Oreochromis niloticus: one gene and its partners. The protein of the gene in region 1 interacts with the protein of each later gene in a pairwise test. Links are inferred from orthologs where the notes say so. Each region holds a gene or a part of one and is shown on either strand. Other genes may lie near its edges. The genes, in order: fam168a, ubiquitin-conjugating enzyme E2 variant 1 and calcium-responsive transactivator.

Region 1 (7,067 bases):
CTTCACTACTTCCACAAATCTTCTCTGTGGTCTAGTTAAGGCATTACTTAATAAAACAAAAAATAATTTTCAATGCTTAATCACTATTTCATGTGGATTTCATGAAGGTATGACCTACGACTGGTTTGCAAGTCTATTTTAAGTGCAGCTTAATTGCTTTGACTGATAGTTAATCAGGAATAAAATAGTGGCCAATTTGTCTGATAATGCTGTAATAACCAATGTTACTTTTCAGGGAAAAGCTCAAAAGCTCCCTTTTTCTCAGTTTTGTTGCCATCTTTGATTAATATTATTGTCAGTTAGACATCTTTTGATTTTAGACTGTTTGGCAAAACACTGGGACACATTTATTATAATTTTCCAATGTAAATTTTATCCAAATGAACAACTGAAGAAATAAATAACCCCACTTGATTGATTCCTATACAACAGAAATATTCAGAGTCCCCGAAATGCAGTTGAATGAACCTTCATGTACAGCAACCATCTTTTTAAGACTGTCCAACCATTGAAATGTTTACATCTGCTAACCTCTAAAAGAACAGTAGCATTACTGGAGGTCAAGTTGAGGGACCGTGAGCTGGACGAGGCACAGGAAATGAAGGTGACTCTGGAAGCTGCCGTCTTTCAGTGCTTCATTCGCTGATCTGTGATGAGCAAATCATTAAGTGGTTCAAACCACACAGGAATGAAGTGTTGGAAAGCTCTGTTACAGAAACGCTGTCTGTCGTAACATTAAGTGACTCCCGCTTTCAACAGTCTGACGGTTTTATGGCTGCATTGTACAGCCTGCCATTCATATACATGAGCCTGCGCCCCACACATGCCAAAAGCCACACGACATCCACCGTCTTCCTCCAGCGAGGTAGACAGATGAATCAACTTTAGCATATAGCAACAACACTACTTCTCATCTTGTGGGAAAAAAAACCCAAACGTAGTATTTTCTGACTAGAGCTCCCAAAGAGAACCACTGACCTTTAAGTTAATATACTTTCATCTGGTGGATGCAGTTCTAGTGGATGCCTGTTGATTTATTTAGAGTCACAAAAATAAAGTCAGCCTTTAACAAAGACTTCCTTGTTTGTATATTAATAAGATTTATGCTGCCCCCCCTATCACAAAGGGAAGTATTTCTAGATGTCATAATTACAAACAGGACGAAAGTATCACCTATTAGAATGACTTAGAGTCACTGAATGTCTATCATCCACGGAGCAGTGTGCGTCTTCCAGTCTCGATCGTAGACTATTATTTTAAATGTACATAGTTTGCTTACACAGTAATGCTCTGGTGAAGCCAACAACAGTAGCATCTCACAAATCCCTTTAGACAGATAAGGCTTCTTGAATTAAATGGGATTAGTAGTCAGTGACTAAAGCAAGTAATCCCCCCCCCACCTACAAAAAAGGGAAAAAGAGATGATGGCAAAGAGGATTCACTTCACTGATAAGACTAGTCAAAAAGGAGGAGAATAAATAAATAAATAAATAAATAAATAAATAAATAATCACCTCTAACATTTGGAATAATTCTATCTGATTGGCACTATTTAAGCACAAATCTTGTAGTATATGCATTACAAACAAAGGAGGTTTTATCAGGTTTTTAAAAAAGGGCCTTTTTTTAACTTCTGCCACTGCTCTTTGCATTAGGCATGAATAAATAATCCAGCTTGCATATGTTACCCTGAGTAGTGCACTTGGAACTGGCATGTTCACTGGTTTCCTATACTGTATACAACAAAAAGCAATTAGATTTAAATAAAATGGAGATGAATAAGTAATGACAACGTGCATAAGTTGCAGTGGATATCTCTGCACAGCAGCTAAGGCCTAGTGTAAGTGACATTCAGATAAAGTACACCTTTGTTATGAGCCCAGGCAGGAGTTGATGGGCACTGACATAGTTAGCCACTTTAATCCAGTGTGCAAATATTTGCATATGCGGAGTAAACCTTTTCTACCCATTTTGACCTTTCCTACTTCTCTCATTCGTCTCCTTCCCCTAGATTTAGCTCCAAACTCTTGACAAATTTAACTCCAGAAACAGTCATTTTCTCCACGGTGGCGACTGCAGCCTGGAGGCGTTTGTATTTACCCCTCACTTCAGTGGTTAATATGTAGTTATATCAGTCAGAGTGTGGCATGCACTGGCAGTGCACTGCATACCAGAGATAGCAAGCAAAGCCAAAACAGCGATGGTTGGACAAAAATGGTCACACTCAAACAAGCTTAAGACACCATTTTGAAAATCCACCGATTTCTAGATAACCACTCCGAGATGCCATCTTGCCAATTATCACTAGATTAGCCACCGTTAGCATGGCGATCCATCCATTCCGAAACACTCCGTGCAGGAATCTGCACGGGTCACATAATACTAACGTTAGCTTAGCTTGTGTGCTAGCCTGAAAAGCCAGCCGCTAACCCGCCGTAGCATCCCTGCATCCCTCGGCACACGCTGCCCCCCTTTAAAAAAACGCTAATTAGCAAGTTAGCTGGGGCAAAATTAGCAGATGACAATGAAAACCACTCGCAGCAGGTCAGACCCGCAACACACTAGGACAGCTGCTAACCTTACTGCCTGGCGGACGACAAATAAAGTAAAAAAACAAAACAACAAAAAACCCTGACACATGCTCCAAGTAGTATCACTTTAACTCCGCTGTTTAAGCTAGCCGCTTTAGCTTAGCCCGCTAGTTCCCCACCGTAGCCACCACGGAGGACAATTAAAGGGATACGGAGGGAAAAAAAGACAGGAAAAAAAAACCCGAACAAGCATTAAGAAAACACATGGACATTCCTCCTCTTCGTGATAAACAGCATAAAAGACTTACCAAAGCTACTCGGTCGACCACGGAATGGGAAAAAAACAGAAAGATTCCCCGAATGTGTACGTGCTCTCTCCCGTGTGAGTGTGCTGCCTCGGGTCGGTGCGGACTGGCTCTGCTACAGCAGCGTTTTGTCGGGCCAGTGGCGCTGGGAAGACAGCTTTCACCCGGAGAGACGGCCACAGTGTGGGGGATGGGGATGCACTGCCGGGAGGGAAGGGAGGGAGGGATGCAGGGATGCAAGAGAGAGAGGAGGGGGCCAGACCCACCATAATATAAACTGGAGAGGCTCTGATAATAGCCCGATAATATGTACACCGATTTAGAGCAGTCTCGTAAAAACTGAAATCAGTAAATGGCGTTAGTATGTGCTGCCCGTTTACTCTGATTTTACTCCAGTTTCTCAACAATGGGACGGTCTCTGACTTTTATAGGATGGTCTGTTGCATGACGATGAAGGAGGATAAAGCATATAGAGTATAATGACTGCATTTTATCCATGATTAAGCCCAGGTTTTGTGTAGTAATAGCATAATAATAATGATAATAGTAATAATGATAATAATCTTCAGAATAAGAAGAATTTAATTGTGTCCACAAAAGCTCTTATACTGTAATCATGTTTTTCAGGCGTTTTCAAGAGTGTGTTTTTATGTCACTGTGGTGGTGAGACGTTGTTCTGAGAAACCGTCCTACTTTGACTAATCATCCTACCCGTGTTATAATTTGACGGCGACTTGTGACTAATACAAACCCTATCCCTAACCATAACCCTACCTATAACCATAAGAAATATTCACAATGGGTTAAAAAAAACGATGTAAATTTGGGGTTTGTGTTACGCGCATGCGCAGCGTATGCTCATAAACAACGGGTAGGATGGTTTGTGAGGTAGGATAGACCGCTTTAAGTTCACGTTCACGAGTTCAGATTCAAAGGCTGTTGTCCTATGCGTCGCCATAATAATTTCTCTGCAGCACGGCAGTGTCACCCAGTGGTGAGAAATATTACTGCATCAACAGAGTCAATGAGAAGCAGACAGGAGTAAAGTTCTGCCAGTGTTCCCTGTGACTTGATATGTTTGAGATATATTTTCATTTGCAACAGAGTAAGCACGCATGGTTAACTAAGCAAGCTAACCTGTATAATTCCTGAACCTTAACTGTTCTAAACTTGCAACTTGCCAGAGAACACGCGCCAGAAATAACCGACCAATAGAGGAGAACTACAGTTCCCAGCGGCCATTGCGCCTTCTTCTGCTATAAAGAAAGAGTACACATGAAAATAAATGAGGGGGATGTAAAAGAGACACGGGCATTATTCTTCTTAGGAAAAAACGCGAATTCAGCCAACAAGATGACAGAAAGAAGACAATTAAACGCGAAAAACAAAAAGTCGAGCGAAACCTCGCGTGATTTCAGGCTTCCGGAAACTAGAATAGCATGAGAGCTCTCCGTGGTGCTGACACTGTCGTGAGTATTACTTGTCCTGCCTCAGACTCACTAGCTGCATATTTCACGCATTTTATGCTCATATATTTTTGACTTTTAACGTCTAGACATCATCTCAGGTAGTGTCTAATGTGCTTATCTTGAATGCAGTAATCGTGTCAGACACTCAGTGTGCCAGACACAATGATACTACTGCATGTCTGAATGGTAGAGAAGCCTGGACTGTGTGTTACAGATCTGTTCATGTAAAGTAGTTTGTTGCATTCTTGTATCTCTTATTCCCTCTGTGTGTGTCTCTCTCAGAGACTCACTCCATTACTATAAATTGCATCATTTTTATATTCTTTTTTTCAGATTTTGGCATAATGGATGAAAATCAAGACTTGTCCTTGTGTTTGACCAACACCCACAACCCCTGCAGCAGCAACAGCCCACCCAGCAGTAGACCTGGCAGTGCTCCACAATGCAACGGGGTCGCAGAGCGTCGGACAATGCTGCGGGTGTCTGAGTCCCATGGACTGCAGCTCCTGGGCATGCTCAGATCGCTCCGGGAGAGAGGCTTGCTGTTTGATTTCACTATTAAGGTGCAGGAACGCAGCTTTCCCTGTCATCGCTGTGTTCTTGCAGCATGTAGTGATTTTTTCAGGTATCTATCTATCTATCTATCTATCTATCTATCTATCTATCTATCTATCTATCTATCTATCTATCTATCTCTTTTTCTTTAATGAATTCTCTCATGTCTCTTGTGTTTAGGGCCATGTTTGAGGTGGATATGCGAGAGCGTGATGATGGTTCAGTAACACTGGGTAATCAGTGTCCAGCAGTAGTGGCTTCTTTCCTGGACTTTGCCTATTCTGGGGAGGTACTCATCACTGAGGGCAACGTAGACATGTTGTTTCAGCTCGCCTCTTTTCTTCAGGTAGAAATGCACCTGCTTCATCTTCCTATTTACCCTTAAACACGTTCATTTTTTCATGGCTTCATGGGATACTGCAGTAAATCATTAATGTTATTATTAAAAGTTATTGTACCAGTCTGTCGTGGTGAAGAGAGAGCTGAGTAATTACTGAAAGAGTACGATCATGAATACAAGCGGCCAAAATGAGCTTCCTCAGCACGGTGGCTGTGCTCAGCATTACAGATAGGGTAACGAGTTCAGACATCTGGAGTGGAGCCACTGCTCCTGCATTTCAAAAGGAGTTGAGATGGTTTGAGCATGTGGTTAGGGTGCCTCCTAATCGGGCATTAGAGGCGCCTCACCGGGAAGAGACCTCAAGGTAGACCCAGAACCTGCTGGAGAGATTATATTTGTCACCTGGCTAGGCAGCACCTTGGGATCCCACAGGAGAAAACTGAGAAGATCAGGAGAAGGATGTCTAGAATGCCCTTTTACCTCTTTCCCCCGTAAAGATGACACTTGACTACCTCTCCTGTACCCTTAAAAGACAAGTTTTGACACCTCAGTATATATCAATAAAGATGTGGTTTGATGACGATTAAGATAGTTTGAACATTTTGTTCTTTAAGCACGCCTGAAATGTAACAGAAATTGCTCAGTTCGTAAAGAGCTTCAAATCTTACTCCTATTAGGGGTATAGAGTTAAAGACCGAACACTTAAAATGAAAATCTATAGTTTTGACAGTCTATCAGTTACGCACTTATCTTTTTGTTGCCAGGTTAATTTCAGTTATGGATTCTGTAGAGATCAGCGTTGCATTTGTTGCGTTTATGCCAATTTCTGAAACCCTACACTTATAAGTGTTTCTTGACCCATCACTGAGGTCTTTAATGTCATTTTAACGTGAAAATTTCCCTGCTCTTGCTGTTGTGCTCTCAGGTGTCTGTCCTGTCCAAAGCATGCAGCGACTTCCTGATAGGAACCATGGATCTTTATAATTGTCTGTCTCTCTTGTCTCTGGCTGAGGGATACGGCTCAGCCTCTCTCCTGCAAAGTGCCAACGAGTTTGTGGTCCAGAACTTCTTTGAACTCTCCAAAACGCAGGACTTCCTGGATATGCAGGTGAAACCCAATCTTGCACCTAAATATTGTGTCTATGCAGAGAAAGGCTAGAGGCTGATCAGAGTCTCTGTTATCATTTATTCTCTATATCCGGTTGCTACACACTTTATTATGTCTGACTTAAGAAAAAGTTAAGGCTCAAAGCACCAATGATGTTGGATTTTTTGCATATTTGGTGGGATTTCTCATCATTTTTATAACAGCTCTGAAATCCATTAAACTCAAAAAAATATCAAACTCTTATTGTTTTATGATGTATCCGAAAACCAAGTTTATTCTGATTAACAAGCCCAATAGTTAAGCTAACTGTTCCTCTGCAACATTTTATACACAATATATTGTCATTAAATCTGCTCTTATATCAGTAACAAAACATTTTTCTTGTTTCATGTTTTTAAGCTGACAAATACATCACGTTAAAAAAAATCTCTTCAGGTTGATGTCTTGGAGCTGTGCCTCAGGTCAGATGCTCTAAACGTGCCCAGTGAGGAGGCAGTGGTGGTGTCTCTCCTTAGATGGATTCGTCATGATCTCCCAGGAAGACAGAAGCTGTTGCCGGGATTGTTGTCTCTGACCCGGCTGCACCATCTTCCTGCACCTGCACTAAAGGTACAACCAAACCTTTACCTGCACGGGGTTTAAAGACTTTATGCAGTTTGCAGATTTGTGATCGCATCACCTTTCCTGTGTTGACTCTTACATTCTCTCTTAGTCTCTGTGTGATTCTGACCCTCTCCTCTGCAACGATGAGTCCTGTCT
Region 2 (7,720 bases), on another chromosome or scaffold:
ATGAATTACCTTGGTACAGCTTCTCAGTTTATCCACAGACTGAAACAAGCAATTTTATCCTTTCCCCCCAGCGTTTTGCCACGTAAAATAAAAGGTTTGAGTAGCAAGTGGGTGTTTACAGGTAGAGCAGTGTGCCTGAGATGACCATATTAGACAATAATCACCTCTTTCGGAGATTATACAGCATTAAAAGTGAAAAAAAAAAGTCTTAAAGTGGGTTTTTAAATAAGAATGAAGGCTGAACTGGCCCTCATCTTTTTTCCTAACTTGCATGGTGCTCATGTAAGTTAGGAAGAAAGATCCCACATTACCAATTTTTTGAGATCTTAAAAAAAAAAAAAAAACTCTTGGAAAAACCTAAAACATCTGAATAAAGATCTAGATGTACATAATGTAAATCATCTATTATTCTCTTGTTCCATGGATACAATGGCCGTCTTCTAAACATGATGATATGAACTCATAACCAGACAGAACTGCAGAGCTCGACCATTTGGGACTTTTAAGGAGTAAATAAAATCTTATATTGATATTTCAGCCAATATTCTAACAGTAAGTGAGAGTATTAAACAATAAGATGATAAGAAACATCATATATCCTGACATATCAGTGATAGGCCAGTTTAAGCTAGTTGATCAGTTGTTTATCTGACTCCACAGAGCAGATATGATGCTCCTTCCACAGAGTGCATCCAAAATGAGCCAATCATTTTAAAAATAATGATAAATAATTCACATACCACACCGTTGGAGGTGTGCACGCCATTCAAGTTTATCTTTGTCACAAATCTGACAAAAGGTGGTGATTCTGGGTATCCTGGCCCGCATTCAACCTTCAGATTGTACATCCTGTTTTCATAGCTTGTCTGTTAAACAAAGAAAGGTAGGGAGAGGTGAGAAGACAGCACACCAAACTTTGAAGAACAAAAAAAAAAAAAAATTGGTACACAATGTTCACTATGTGCAACAACATCATGTGAAAACTAAGGCAGGAAATACCCTTGTAGGGTTTTTTTCTCCTGACTCACAAAGGCCCTGGGGAGAGTTTAAAGAGTCTGCGGTACCTTGTTTTTACACAAATCTGTGCCTTTTGCTTTAATCTAATCAACAAAAATGTCTGCTAGAATTAACATAACTGCTAATTTTATTACAATTTTTGGCTCTGGCCAAAACATTTGGTGGTATGCCAAAATTTTTTTATGCTCCCTGCATACAGGCTGTAACTGTGACAGCACTGCTGCAGTTTTACCCAGTCGCACAGTAAATGAATACACTGTAGAGGAAGACAAACTGGCTGACCCAGCTGCAGTCTGACATACGGTAATGTCCATGGTCCTGTGAAAGAGGTCCTCAAAGGACTGCAGTCATTAATTTAAAAACAACATTTTTAAATAACAGTCTCATATAGGTCATTTCAACTTTACAGCTTAGCACTGAGCAATTTTTAAAGTATTTATAAATACCTATAATTACAAACTAACTAAAAAGATACTGGGACATCTGTCAACAATTAAAAACAACATTATGCTGCAAACTTGTGCGATAATTGGTCTTTAGTCAGGAGTTTAATTGTGCTTCTGCTTCACATTTATTCTGTTTTAATTCAAAAACAATCATTCGAAGGATTGCAAAGTAGTGTTAGTGCCTCGATGTTTTCCTCTTCTTCAAGTGGACGACCTGACTTGCTCCCCGACATCATGCGATGCACAAATCAAACCTGACACCTTTGGTTTAAGTAACTGTTAATCTTTTGGCTTGGTCAACACTCCCCTGCTCCTGCAAAGTACTCATCCAGGTGTTAAAAATGGCACCACTAACCCTTGGGGGGCCAAGGATCACCCCTCTCCATCGTGTTAAGGTCATGTCCTCATCATCCTCCAAGCCCCAGCTCACCGTTCCATCTCCCACACCTTTCTGACCTTCCTCCAGCTCTTCCAGGAGCCGGAAATTGCGAGGAACTTTAACGCCTGTTTGTGGGCAAACACACAGCCATTCAGTCATGCAAACTTCCAGAGCCACAGGTAGATTTATGAAGCTAAATAAAACTGCCAGCAGTGTGCCAGACAAAATGACTTGCAGTTATGAAGTTATGACTCAATAAGACCGAAAAAAAATAAGGGACGCCTCAGCTTTGCAGCCTGCGTGAGCCTTTTGATAAGAGCAGGTGTTATTTTCACGTCCTGTGAGACTTGAGCATCTGGCTCCGGCGGTGCCGCATCACTTGGCCTCCGCAGTAAGATACGACGAGGCTGCACCCTTAAGAGAGCCATCCAAACAAACCCAGTCACACTGCCAGCTGCTGCAGCAATTCAGCTCAGCTCACCGGCGTCTCCAGAGAAGCTCAGTGAAGCTCAGCGCAGGTCATGTTTCCCTCATGAGCTCTCGGAAAACGTACAGTCACTGTTTACGTTTAACAGCCGGGCAGGAAGACCGTCTTACTGCGGGATGCACCCGCATTTCTTGATGACATTTAAGTAACGCTACACACCCGGTTTGCAACACATCGCGCCTGTAAATAATCTGATGTCGCAAACAGGCTGTCATTATCCGGTGGGGTGGCGGTGCTGTGGTTTGACAACAGGATGCTGTAATTTAAGCAGCATCCTAAATTAAACTATTAAAATTAAAATGTATAAATGAATACACAAATACATAAACAAGTTGCAATGTCTCATATTTGCTGATGGCTGGCGAGTAACGGCTCCACGCCCATAAAACAGCACTGAAGTGAGACCTGCTGTCCTTTTATCTAACTTAAGATAGCTTAGCTACTAGCATCGCTTCCTATTCATTCTCCTCAGCTTTGTTTTAGCTTCTATGTAATAACACAACATAGCACAGCGTCTGAATGCAGAATCAATCTAATCATAAAACCTAACAGGCACGCGGTAAAAATTCATTGACAACACTGTTCAAAAATAGCTTTTCGCAGTGATTAATACGTCTCAACCGTTTTACCTGATCCGGCGGCGACCGCCATCTTGTCGCTACACAGCGGGAGCGAGCACGCACTTTTACCATTGTAGCCAGCGGTGCGTGCGCGAGCAAGAAGACAGCAACGGCGCTTCCTTTGTTGCTTTAAGCAAACTGATTAGCTATGTGGCTGTATAAAACGGAACTGTTATTATTATTAGTAGTAGTAGTAGTAGTAGTAGTATTGCTGTTGTTGTTGTTGTTATTATTATTGTTGTTGTTGTTGTTGTTGTTGTCGTCAGAGTAGCAGATTAATTTACAGATAATCTAACCTGGCATACTTTCCAAGGCAGGTCACTATATTAAATGATTTAATTCTGTCAGAGCATCAAAAAATGTTGTGCTTATTTTAATAGTCATTTCATTAAAGAGAGATATTATTAACTGCCCTTTTGCTCCAGGGGTTTTTAAATCAGCCAGTTCTAAAGGCACGAGTATTTGTCCAGAATTTTGTCTTTACGGTATATCTTTCAATCATCTTTCTTCAAATGTAGCATGTAATTCTCTCCTAGTTCTATTCACATTGCATGATAAATCAGTATACATGTAATTTAGGTCCGAGTTTTGTGCTTCTGCAGAAATTGTGGAAATCCAGCAAGACTGAGGAGGAGGATGGGCCTCTGGTCATTCATCAGCATGTGCATCTACTTTTAGGTAGGTAGGGTAGGTATAGGTATCATGCATGTGCATCTACATCTACTGATGTGAAACCATTTTACAGCACCCTCAGCTCCATGGGGAATGAAAAATTAAGGTATTTCTGAAGGCTAAGGCCACAATTAAACACAATTAAAATAACAAAGATGGGGGAGCGTCAATATATTAGAAGAAAAAGATTGCTGTGAGAGATTAAAGAATGAAACCCTTAATTAGCAAGGATAGATTAAAGCATGCCAAGTTTGATTAGGTCATTCACTGACTGACTGCAGGCTTATTACATAGCAAGTAAGCTGTGGAGTCCAGTGTCAAAAGGTTGACCTAAGCTTGCAAATTAAAGGAAGAGATGTTCTTGACTCAGAAACAGTATTTCTCTGTGTGAAAACGCCCTGTGATGTCAGAGGTTAGAGGAGAATGGCCAGGTTGCTTTGAGCTGATAGGAAACTAAGTCAAACAACCGCTTGATACAACCAACCCACAACACGTCAAACTTTGAAGCAGAAAATACTCCAGGTGCCACTCCTGTCAGCTAAGAACAGGAAACTGTGGCTACAATTCACACGGGCTCACCAAAACTAGAAAACAGAAGAATGGAAAAAGAATTTGCCTGATCTAGTGTCTTGATTTCCTGCTGTCACATTCAAATGGCAGGGTCAGAATTTGGTAGAAACGGCTTTCAAGCATGAAAGCATGGATCCATTCGGCCTTGTCTCAACACTTCAGACTTGTGATGTTTATGTAATGGTGTGACGAATATTTTCTTGGTACCCTTTGGACCCTTTAGAGCCAAATGAGCATCTTTAAAATACCACAGTCTGCCTCATTATTGTTGCTAACCATGTCCTTCCCTTTTTGACCACATTGTACCTATCATCTGATGTCGGTTTTCCAGCAGTATAAAGCACAAAGCTCACAATATCTCAAACTGGTTTCTTGAACATGACAGTGAGTTCACTGTTCTCAAATGGCTTCAACAGACACCAGATCTCACAGAGAGTACCTTTGGGATGTGGTGGAACATCATGGATATGCAGCCAACAAACCTACAGCAACTGTGTGACGCTGTTATGTCAGTATCAGCTGTTACGAAAATCTGAAATAAAACAAGTTATCTCTGTGAGATCTTAATTTGCCTTGGCAAAGTTCTCAGAAAACAGTACAGAGTACAGCAGCTGTCCAGTGTCATCACATCCCCCCCTTTTGATCATTTATTGATCACAAGTATTCATAGGGCAGCGCAGTGGTTAGCACTGTTACCTCACAGCAAGAAGGTCCTGAGTTTGACTCCACAGCAGCCTGTCTGTGTGGAGTCTGAATGCAGCTGGGTTAACTGATGATTCTAAATTGTCCATAGGTGTGAGTGTGAATGGTTGTCTGTCTCTCTGTGTTAGCTCTGCGATACACTGGCGACCTGTCCAGAGTGTACCCTGTCATCAATTAACCCAGCCTAACTGACATGACAGCATCACACAGTTGCTGTAGGTTTGTTGGCTGCATATTGTGAGATTATTATACTGTTTTATGCCACCTTACACTTCTAATCAAAGAACTGTTGAATCATTATACGGCTATAGGCCACATTATGCCTTGGATTAAAGACTGTGAAATCATTACACTGTTTTATGATGCATTATACTGCTGAGTTATAAGAAATGCTGTTTGTGTCGAATCATGGCTTTCCTTTTCTGATTACAAAGAGAACAGAACATATTGTAGAGGTTTTCTGCCCCATCTCATCAGGAGATAAAACAGGAAGCCAAGGTCGTCACTTAGGCGCTGTAAGAGAGAAAGAATGTGAATGCTTAGTGCGAGAGATTGTTGGTTGAGCATTTATACACCGAGTGTTGTTCTTCCTTCAGCCCAAAGATCAAAGAATTGGGATATCAAACAATATCCATGATGTTCCACCACATCCCAAAGGTACTCTCTGTGAGATCTGGTGTCTGTGGAAGCCATTTGAGAACAGTGAACTCATTGTCATTTTCTAGAAACCAGTTTGAGATATTGTGAGCTTTGTGCTTTATACTGCTGGAAAACCAACATGAGATGATGGATACAATGTGGTCATGAAGGGAAGGACATGGTTAGCAACAATAATGAGGCAGACTGTGGTATTTTAAAGATGCCAATTTGGCTCTAAAGGGTCCAAAGGGTACCAAGAAAATATTCGTCACACCATTACATAAACATCACAAGTCTGAAGTGTTGAGACAAGGCAGAATGGATCCATGCTTTCATGCTTGAAAGCTGTTTCTACCAAATTCTGACCCTGCCATTTGAATGTGACAGCAGGAAATCAAGACACTAGATCAGGCACATTCTTTTTCCATTCTTCTGTTTTCCAGTTTTGGTGAGTCTGTGTGAACTGTAGCCACAGTTTCCTGATCTTAACTGACAGTAGTGGCACCTGGAGTAGTTTCTGCTTCAAAGTTTGACGTGTTGTGCGTTGGTTGTATAAAGCGGTTGTTTGACTTAGTTTCCTACCAGCTCAAAGCAGTCTGGCCACTCTCCTCTAACCTCTGAGATAACAGGGCATTTTCACACAGAGAATTGCAGCTCTGCAAAGATATTCTCTCTTTTTCAGATGGTTCTCCGTGACCTCTCGAGATGGTTGTGCAGGAAAATCCCAGTAGATCAGCAGTTTCTGAAATACTCAGCCCATCAGGCATCAGCATTTAAATCACCTTTCTTTTCCATTTTGGTGCTTGGTTTGAACTTCAGCACATGTCTACACACTTAAATAGATTTGTCTTTGTACCATGTGATTGGTTAATATTTGCATTAACAAGCAGCAGAACAGGTGTCCCTAATGAAATGACTGCTGAATGCTTTTGTTATTGTGGATTCTCCTCAATATGGTGTAGTCGAACTGAGTGCGGAATAATTTGTCTGTTCTGCTTGAACAGGATTAACTGAATAAGTAAATTTAAAGTGTTTGTTTTATTTGGAATAAACAGAAGCCTGGAATGTAACATGACAGCTGCATCTGTGAGAAGCACATCGATTAGCAGTAAATGTGTCGAGGGCCAGGCTCCGGGTACAGACAGGGTCATTAATTATTAATACGCTTTTCATAGTGGATGTTTTAACCACTGACACAAGTACCTGTAGTAGCAGCAGAAGACCATCAGATGCTGGCGATTACTGTACCTTTTCTGCAAAAAGCTATGGTGAAAAAGTCTTTACTTAGGCAAATATAAACACAATCAAGCAGGTTATTTTACCCTTTAATGCTAAAGTGTATCATGTTTGATATGTGAGTTTTTGCGAGTTTTAGAGACTTCTATATCATCGGTGTGATTTTTTTCCCCATGTAAAAAACTAAATAAATTGCACTATACATTTTAAAGAATAAATTGCAAAAAGATTTGCTAATATAATTCAAATTAAAACTTGTATATGCAAATTAGCTTTTTAAAATTTCATCACAAGGTTAAAAAAAATAGAATTATGTATGAGAAGGTGGTGTTCTGTGTACCCTGTGAAATCGTCACCTAAATTCCTAAAACAGATTAAATTATACACTTTTTAATAATAATAATAATAATAATGATAATAATAATGATGATAACAGAAAGAAAGAGAAACACAGAAATATGTTTATTAGTTTATTTATAAATACAGTATATTATTTACACTGTAAGTCCTCCAACTGGAAGACAACAAAAAGGCATCAAGGCATTAATCTGATATCTAGAACTCCATCCCCACCACCGGTGTACATAACCAACAACAACAACAACATCCACATGGACCTTACCTCAGAAGAAGCAAGAGTCAAATGAAGAGCAATTTAAAGTCAGTCAATAAACTCTTTTCCCACATTGTTGGCAAGAGGATAAGGCGATTCAATAAAGTCCGAGGAGAGATTCTAACTGCCCATCTCACTTACTAACATCTTCATTTGCTCTCACTAAATTTTTCAGGTGTGAAAAAAAAATACTTAATTGACCACATACTGTCGCAAAACACCGTTCAAATCCACTGAAAGTTCACTGTCTCTAAGCGGAAAATCCAAATACAGCTCGATCACAAATTCTACCTCAATAACAAGTGGCCAAGTTAACTGTACTGATTTATGGTAACCATA
Region 3 (7,817 bases), on another chromosome or scaffold:
ATATCTTTAAAGAAATGCTTTCAAGATGCTGCTTTAAGTGTAAACAAAGCCAGCAAAGTCAGCGCATTAACAGAAGTACGATAAATACACATGGACATCCAAGGAAAGTAGGGGTGCATCTCAGAAATTAGGAGAAACCTGAAGCAAAGGGAAGAAGGAAGGAGGCAGGACACCTCAGTGATGAACTGAATGTGTTTCGTATTTGTCTGTTACACAGGAGGAAAGTTTAAGATATGCATGCAGGCATATTTTTTATGCAAGCTCGAAAGGGGCACAGCTTCAGAGGTCATCATCCAACTGTTTTACTGATGTACCATGTACAGTATTTCACCCTGAAAACTTGAAAAGATTATTATCATCATTCCAATCCTCTAAATGCCAAATCTTGCATAATACACATAAACAAGTAAAAAACAAGTATGCCATCTTGCATCTCGAGAGGTGGTAACTCCTGACTATCAGATCATGATGGTTTAGAGACCAATTCTTGATGACTGGGTTTTACGATACCTGGCTCACCTTGGTTGGAATGCATGTTGAGGTTGCTGCGGGAGGAGGAAGAAGAGGATGAGGATGTGGAGGAAGAAGAGGAGGAAGAGCCATAACCAGGCCCAGGGCCCTGGATCATACTGCCCTGGGAGGAGGGTGCAGCGTGGCTGTACCCAGGGACCGAGCTGCCATAGCTGCTTGCTGGCAGGCTGAGGGAGGTGGAGGGAATAGCCGACTGCACCTGACCAGACTGCTGCTGCATGGGGGCATGGCTGGGGCCTGACAACACACACGCACAGTCAGAGCAGCCACCACACATTCCCCTGTGGTGCCATATCATGTTAACCACGGCCCCACATTCAGTTCATCTTCACAGGAGACGTGCATGGTTGAACAAAGCTAGAGTAACGCATGTTAAGGATGTGTGTATAGTTTTTTCACAAAAAGAGGGAATATAGTAACATAACTGTGAAACAATCTGACTCATTGGCTGAACTTAAAACCACAGATACATGAAGGCAATGAAGCAATAAAGAAGTGCGGGCACTGTGGCAGACAAGACATGGTACTGTGTCTGCAGACAAACATGCAGCTAAGTCAGAATGAGACGAGCAAGCAAGACACTGGACAGACAACAAAATCGGGAGGCATCTTTGGGCTGAAATAAGTGATTCAGGGCTTATCTGTAAAACACAGGTATGCAATTAACTCTCACCATTACTCATTTGGCTCTGCATCATTGATGTCGCGGGCAGTGCTGGTCCCATGTTGTCATTGAGGTTGCTTTGAGCATGTCCCCCACTCTGGCCCATCCCTCCAGGACCCAAAGACATACTGGAAGTGGGAGGCTAAAGGTGTACAGACGTAATATTTAAGTAGTGGCAGTCATAAATAAATACTGATATGCAGTTCATTTTTTTCACACTGTATTTATATGCATCTATTTTCTGTTTTCCTTTAATGTTCTATTTTCCCAGTGGACACAGTGTATACTTATATTTGATAGTTGCTATTACTGAAGTCACAAATCAGACTTACCGCAGGTAGTAATGACTGCATGTTCTGATTTGAATCAGCTATTGTGGCCAAGTAAACAAGATTTCTGTGCAGGATCTGCTGATACCTGGAGGAAGAAGAAGAAGAAAACCAGTCTTAATTGTGCTATACTTTGATATTTAGCAGGTACCGGTCAGGGAGGAAAGAAAAAAACACTTACTGTGTGCATTCAGCTGTCTTGCCTTTGCTTTGGTAATCCATTATGCATTGTATTAAATGATGATTTTCATCCAGCATCTTTGGAAAATAATAAAACAACTTCATTCCACTGTATCTGAAGTCCTATAAGTGTATAGTAAATTATTAACTAACAAATACTTTATTAAAACAGTGATGTGCTTGATTCTCAGAACTTTATCCAGCCCTTGAATGTTTTTTTTCTGGGTCACCTTTCTCATCTTCTTTTTATATAACAGAGCCAAAAGAAGAACTCATTTTTCACTGTCTTTATTTAGGACGCCGTTTGAAAGTCTGGCTTTCAAGGATAGGGTTTACGTTTTACTTTCGCGCTAAACGGTTCAATCAAGGATAAAAGCGGTGCCCTAGGACATATACTGTAACACCTGCCTTCACTTTTAACCTATAGCCTAATTAATTAAACACCAGGGCAGAGCTGTTGCTTTGAGAATTCTTGTTAACCATCTTGCGACGAAATATAAAGCGGATTTCCAATTTCTCACACTAAAATATTCCCATTCGTCTCATAATATCTGCGAGGATGACAGACAGCATCACCAAGAAAGCAGAGATCCAGCCGGCGTTAAGCCGAGCGCTCGTCTACATCACCGCGATGGCTTTGTTTGGTTCGCACCTTCAATTGACTGTAACGTTGCAATACCAGTTGCCATTTCTTTGATATTCACCACTGGCTACTTTCTCTGCACTGGAGGGGGATCACATACTCCCATGCTAGAAGATCTAAATAGAAATGTCGCGACGTTTTAGGATTTTTTACCTTTTGAATGGTTTGCTGTGTCACCTCCCCTTTACTTCTGGGGCGCGCCGATGAAAACGCCACCGACATTTTGTCATATGGGAAATAAAAGAGCCGCTTTTATTCTAATATTTATTATCTCGAGCGCAGCCTTCTATTTGGTTACATAGTTTCTCCATTACCAGGAATAGGGGTACTGACCAAACCAGAGCCATGTCGTGAAAGATGCAAAATTAGAAAACACTTGACTTATCTGGATGGCATTAAACAGAGGATTTCCCTTAAGCGAATATTTATGATCTGCGTGCAAATAATTACATGCATATAAAAGGATACGATGGTAAGGGAAAAATCCCTCTCCCTCAGATTTTGGTATAGTCCAGGCAGTGAGTAGCCTACCACTTTCCCTCACTGTAGACGGGGTATCGTTTGATTCAAGAAAGCAGTCTGCTTGGATCAGCTGTAGCCAAAGTTGCTTTTAGCATTTCAGGAAATGTGGAAATCCCACCATTCACATTTTTACAACAGCACTGAATCAGGGAATGTGTAATCTTGTAATTCAGTGAGACATTTACTAATTTTTTTTTTTTTTTGCCAGTTTATATAATCTAATCTTGAATATATTGCTAACGTTGTTTAAAGGAGTGCTCCTTAAAAGGACAAAGAAACAGCCATAGAACACAGATACTATCCCAGATTATTTATAATTCGGAAGAATTTTTTAAATGCTTACTTGTGCAACAAAATGTCTTTTAGTCTCATAACAGGTGTATCAGCACATCCATTTTATTTACATTCAACTCATTCCCTTGAATATACCAAATTAAGTCTTAAGTCTGAAACCTTGTTTAGTTCATTATATTAATACTATGCAACATTGAATGGACAAATCTGATTAATACTCCAAAAAGGCAAATGCAAGAATTTACAAATCTGCAAGTAGCAAACCAAAGTAGAAACTGAAGCATTCATGTTTTTCCCCCCTTTTAAACAAAAAAAGCCTCTTGTAGTAACTTTTACCCACATTAAAAACAAGGTCAAATGTCAAAGAAATAATGTTAAACTTTTTAATGACAGACATTTTGGCTGGTTACAGCACAGCTGTAATAATGATGGTTTAGTTCCATCACGTATACCAGTAAACAGACTGCAAACCAACATGCACAGCATAGCGCCTCTTCCAAATGCAATACAGCCTTCATTATTGCCCTTGTGATTTCTTCACTGTGCTAAAACTCAAAAGGTCTGTCAAGAAAAAAGGGGGCAAGATTCTTACAGGGGATCCAGTACTTTCCACTCACTGTAAGAAACAGGGTACTAAATCATTCAAGGTGGCTTTACTCTGCCTTTGTATGAAACTGATCTGTACAGCCGCCCAGTTGTGTTTCTTTGAGTTAGACTCTGGCAGCACCTCGTCCTCTTCTGGCATATCCACCTCTGAATCCTTGGCCCCTCAGGAAACGCCCAGGGACACCAAAAGTCTCCAGATTGCGCTTTCGCTCCTCTGCCCATGTCAGTCTGAAACCATTGATGTAAATAAATAGCCATGAGCACATATCTGCACAAAGACCATCTTTTATATAAGATGGAGTCAGCTGATTACCTGAGCCCATTATCAGATGAGATGTTGTCAAAGAAAGACTTTGCTTTGTCATAGTAGCACTTTGGTGCTAAACAATCCTCCCCTGAAGTCAGCTGCAACCCTTCTGTTTCCGTTCCTTCAGAATTCCCATCTGAAAACAGAAAAAAGTACTGACAGTGGAAGGACAGACTCAGTCCATCTTAAGAAGCCAATTCCCAGAGATTGAAAATATTTATTTATTTATTTATTTATATGCCAGAGAGAAACATGACGTTAGAAGCCTTATTTTACCTGAATGCAAATTTACTTCTATTCAAACTTAAAGCTGTGGTGACAAAAATTAAAGTAATTCAAACAGGGTTACATGAGAGCGCAACTTCCATGAAAATGCCATCATAACTGCTCTGTCTCTCACATAATCTACTACATGAAATCCATAGGGACTCAAGTTTTTCTACCAACAACATTAATAATGCATACCTTTAAAGTGACAGCATTCCTTCAAAGAGAATTAACTGACAAAGCGGGTGATTTCAAAAAAAAAAGTGCATTAGTGGCAACTTCAGCTGATAACCAACCTCTTAGAGTCAGCCTCTCCTGGACCTTCTCCTCAAGCTCCTCCTTAATGAATTGTGCGTTTGAGGAATCAAAATCAAAGTCTGTGTCAAATTTAAGGGTGGGAGATGGAGCATTAGCCACCATCAGCTGGCCTCTTCTGCGGTTCCTGCGCCGTCGAGGCCCTAAGATTATTATTTATTTTTTATTAAGTGCACCTCAAGTTTGTTTTGTATACAAGGATGTCCTTTCTGATTTTCAAGTCTACTGGAAACTTGTGTTTAATACCTTGTCTTTTTCTAGCAGGTGGCCTGGTTTCAGCATTTTGCTGCTGACTGTCCTGAGAAGTGGATCCACTTGGGTCTGATTGCACTGCAAAGACACCCACAACAGCTACACTTAGTTTTAAGTGTATGTAGATGCCCAGACAAATACCTCATTATTTCCCCCAAAACATACATACTCCTCCACAGTTAATCAACCTGTTTCACTTAGGGAAACATCACAATAGTTTAACAGCATTTCCTTCTCATCACTGCAGCATTGTGTACTTACTGGTGGCTCCAGTGACCCTTGTGGTTTGAATATTTGTTCCTCTCGTCCACTTAGGCTGCCTCCTATTCCTCTGCTGCTGTTGCTGCTGCTGCCCTTGTTCTTCTTGTTGCTGCTCCTGCTGCTGGGATGCACTTGCACCTCTCCTCTGCCTAAATGTCCTTACACTGACGGTTTGAACAGCCTTTTCCACCATGGGACCTCTTTGAGCATGTAAGCCTTGAAGTAAAGGCCCTGGGTGAAGGATACAAAGTGTGTAGTATAGAAAGAACCCAATTAAAATTTGGGGTTTTTTTTAGTCAGTTGACTTGTTAGAAACTTGTTGTCATTGATTTACCAAGGCCAAGAGCTGCAACATACTGCTGATTAAGCAGAGAGCTAGCAGCAAGCTGGTTGTAGGCAGGCATCCTTAAGGGGCTGAGTGATCCAACAGTAGATTGGATGCTTGAAGAGCCTGAACTGGAGGTCTGGATGAACCAAAGATGTTAATGTTTAAACACACATATACATACTTAGTCTGTTTTTAGAAGGAGGGTGGAACCAGGCAGTTTTTGTACACCTGTATTATCGCAGGATCTTGAGGCAGGCCATGGTGATACCTTGGAGGTTCACCCAGTGTAATATCCTTAATATCACTTCCCCGGAAAGTAATGTACTCATAGACATCATCTTTGGGTGACGTTGGCCTATCTGTTGGCCTTCCCTCAGTTCCAAAACACTTGACTTGTGAAAAGAAAAACGTTGGATAAAGTCAGGAAAGTTCCACCCATATTTCACTTGTCCAGTTTCTTTCTAAGATTAAATGACAATAACTAGAAAAGGAGAAGAAATTTAAAAAGCAAGTTTTTGTTCGTTTTTGAAATGCTGACAGATTTTCAAGAACACTGAGCGCTAAATAACTCACCTTCTGCCAAAACTACTGTGCTGTTCGCTGCATCAATTGTATACAAAATCCCTTCATAACGATTTTGGGCTTTTGAGAGGAGTGATACTTTACAGCCAATGTATGGCTTCGAAGCCATGGCTCGAGAATATCCGGGGCCGTTGCTATAAACTTCTATACAGACTCATCACACGGCACATTTCGAGTCCTAGAGAAACCGGAAACAATTTATAGGCGTATACAGCTGACTTGATTGAAGCACCTGGCAATCATTGATGGCAATAAGATGAATGCCAATCACCACGGCTTGATTTAACTCACTTGAGACCCATTCTTTTGATATTTTGCGTAATCTTTGATTTGTTATGAATTCGATCAATAATTATGATTGTGCTTATGGTACATATTTTTTTCATAAAAACATTTTTAGATAATCTTTATAAGTTGCAACAAAAATCACAGTCATGGCGTTAAAAGGCTGAGTCCTGTGATGCACAAACAACCGTGCAAACTGGCTGCCTAAGTGCTGATCTGCACTCTCAAAAGTTTACTATCCAGGTAGTTTCACATCACTACTGTCTGTGAGCACTAGGCGGTTACTGCGGGTGTCCTGGAAAAATAGCATCAACGCAGCCATTTTGGATTGTTCAGAAAGTATGATAGTGTAATGTAAACATCTGTGAAATCATGTGATAGCGCATGAGAACTATCTGACAGTTTCCCCGGTGTGCTAATGCTCCACAAGGCACAGCTCCGTGAGCGGTGTCGCTTATTTCCAGCGAAATAGTCCGACTGCGGTGGCACTGTACACTGCAGCTCGCAACCATTTGTTCCAGGCTTTATTTTTGTCGAACAGCCAATCATGAGGCGAGGTAAGGTCGCGTCACGGAGGATGCATCCAATCGGCGCATGCGTCTCACGAACGAGCGTAGCTGGGAAAAGATGGCGGCGGGCTCCGATTTGCTGGGTGATGTTTTCTTGAGTACAGAGGTGGACGAAAAAGTAGTTAGTGACCTAGTTGGATCCCTGGAGTCTGAACTAACAGAAACAAGGTGCGATAACACAACCGCTAGGGCCCCGTCTGCAGAAAATCACGGCGGAAACTCAGCTGTAGGTAGTAGTTTAAATGTTCAGGGTAGCAAAATGGGACTTTCACAACAAGAGCTTGCTAAGGCAGGTAAGATAGCTGCGCACTCCGGTTAGCTAACGTTAGCTAATTTTGGTCACGTTACTCAGCTTGTTATAGCTTATTTGGCTTCACTTGTCTGTGTCCCGAAACTAAAGCGAATCGGAGAGTTGCTCGACACTCCCCTTGTTTTCATGTGTTTCCGCTGCTGCAGGGACAGGAGCGCAAGGAGGTGTCAGTAACAGTACGGGGTCCCTGGGTTCAAGCATGGATGGGGCAGCAGGGATCACATCGACCGCAGGACCGAGTGTGACAGCCACTCAGAGTCAGTCCAAGTCGGACGCAGCCAGCGGAGTGGTTACGGTTACACTAGATGCAACAGCTGGCGCTGGCAAACCTGGAGGGACCGGTGCGCAAACTCTGAATGGAAGTGCCGTGGTGATGAACTGTCAAATAACCGCAGGCGGACCCGCTGACAGCAACAACTCGCAGCCCGGTGCTGTCACACTCCTCAACAACGGACCTGTTTCTGTGAGCAAACCGAGCGCAGCAGGTCTGCCTGGAACACCTAGTACTATTATCCGAGCTACTTTGAACGCGCAAAATGTTGTGACTTCGTCTGTTATCTCGTCCCAGCCTT

The links.
Region 2: the proteins of fam168a (region 1) and ubiquitin-conjugating enzyme E2 variant 1 interact in binary tests that used the Homo sapiens proteins (3 or more experiments, as listed by UniProt). The two-hybrid records come from large-scale screens. The link is inferred for Oreochromis niloticus from reciprocal best matches to the Homo sapiens genes FAM168A and UBE2V1.
Region 3: the proteins of fam168a (region 1) and calcium-responsive transactivator interact in binary tests that used the Homo sapiens proteins (3 or more experiments, as listed by UniProt). The two-hybrid records come from large-scale screens. The link is inferred for Oreochromis niloticus from reciprocal best matches to the Homo sapiens genes FAM168A and SS18L1.

What each region holds. Positions count from the first base shown.
Region 1 is NC_031979.2:18,114,557-18,121,623, reverse strand, and holds the start of fam168a (protein FAM168A), read right to left. Parts: upstream 3,080-7,067; 5' UTR 2,840-3,079; intron 1-2,839. Other genes in the region: kbtbd3 (kelch repeat and BTB domain-containing protein 3), read left to right, coding at 4,650-4,930, 5,041-5,206, 6,126-6,308, 6,744-6,917, 7,021-7,067.
Region 2 is NC_031984.2:9,991,272-9,998,991, forward strand, and holds the start of ubiquitin-conjugating enzyme E2 variant 1, read right to left. Parts: upstream 3,088-7,720; 5' UTR 2,981-3,087; coding exon 2,959-2,980; intron 1,968-2,958; coding exon 1,819-1,967; intron 867-1,818; coding exon 741-866; intron 1-740. UniProt on the Homo sapiens protein: Has no ubiquitin ligase activity on its own. The UBE2V1-UBE2N heterodimer catalyzes the synthesis of non-canonical poly-ubiquitin chains that are linked through Lys-63.
Region 3 is NC_031984.2:13,588,883-13,596,699, reverse strand, and holds the start of calcium-responsive transactivator, read right to left. Parts: upstream 3,065-7,817; 5' UTR 2,570-3,064; coding exon 2,501-2,569; intron 2,466-2,500; exon of another isoform or gene 2,357-2,465; intron 1,783-2,356; coding exon 1,706-1,782; intron 1,613-1,705; coding exon 1,528-1,612; intron 1,338-1,527; coding exon 1,205-1,337; intron 769-1,204; coding exon 520-768; intron 1-519. Other genes in the region: lsm14b (protein LSM14 homolog B), read right to left, coding at 3,874-3,997, 4,083-4,212, 4,640-4,801, 4,905-4,988, 5,172-5,402, 5,506-5,635, 5,728-5,891, 6,073-6,190; transcription initiation factor TFIID subunit 4, read left to right, coding at 6,961-7,228, 7,392-7,817. UniProt on the Homo sapiens protein: Transcriptional activator which is required for calcium-dependent dendritic growth and branching in cortical neurons. Recruits CREB-binding protein (CREBBP) to nuclear bodies.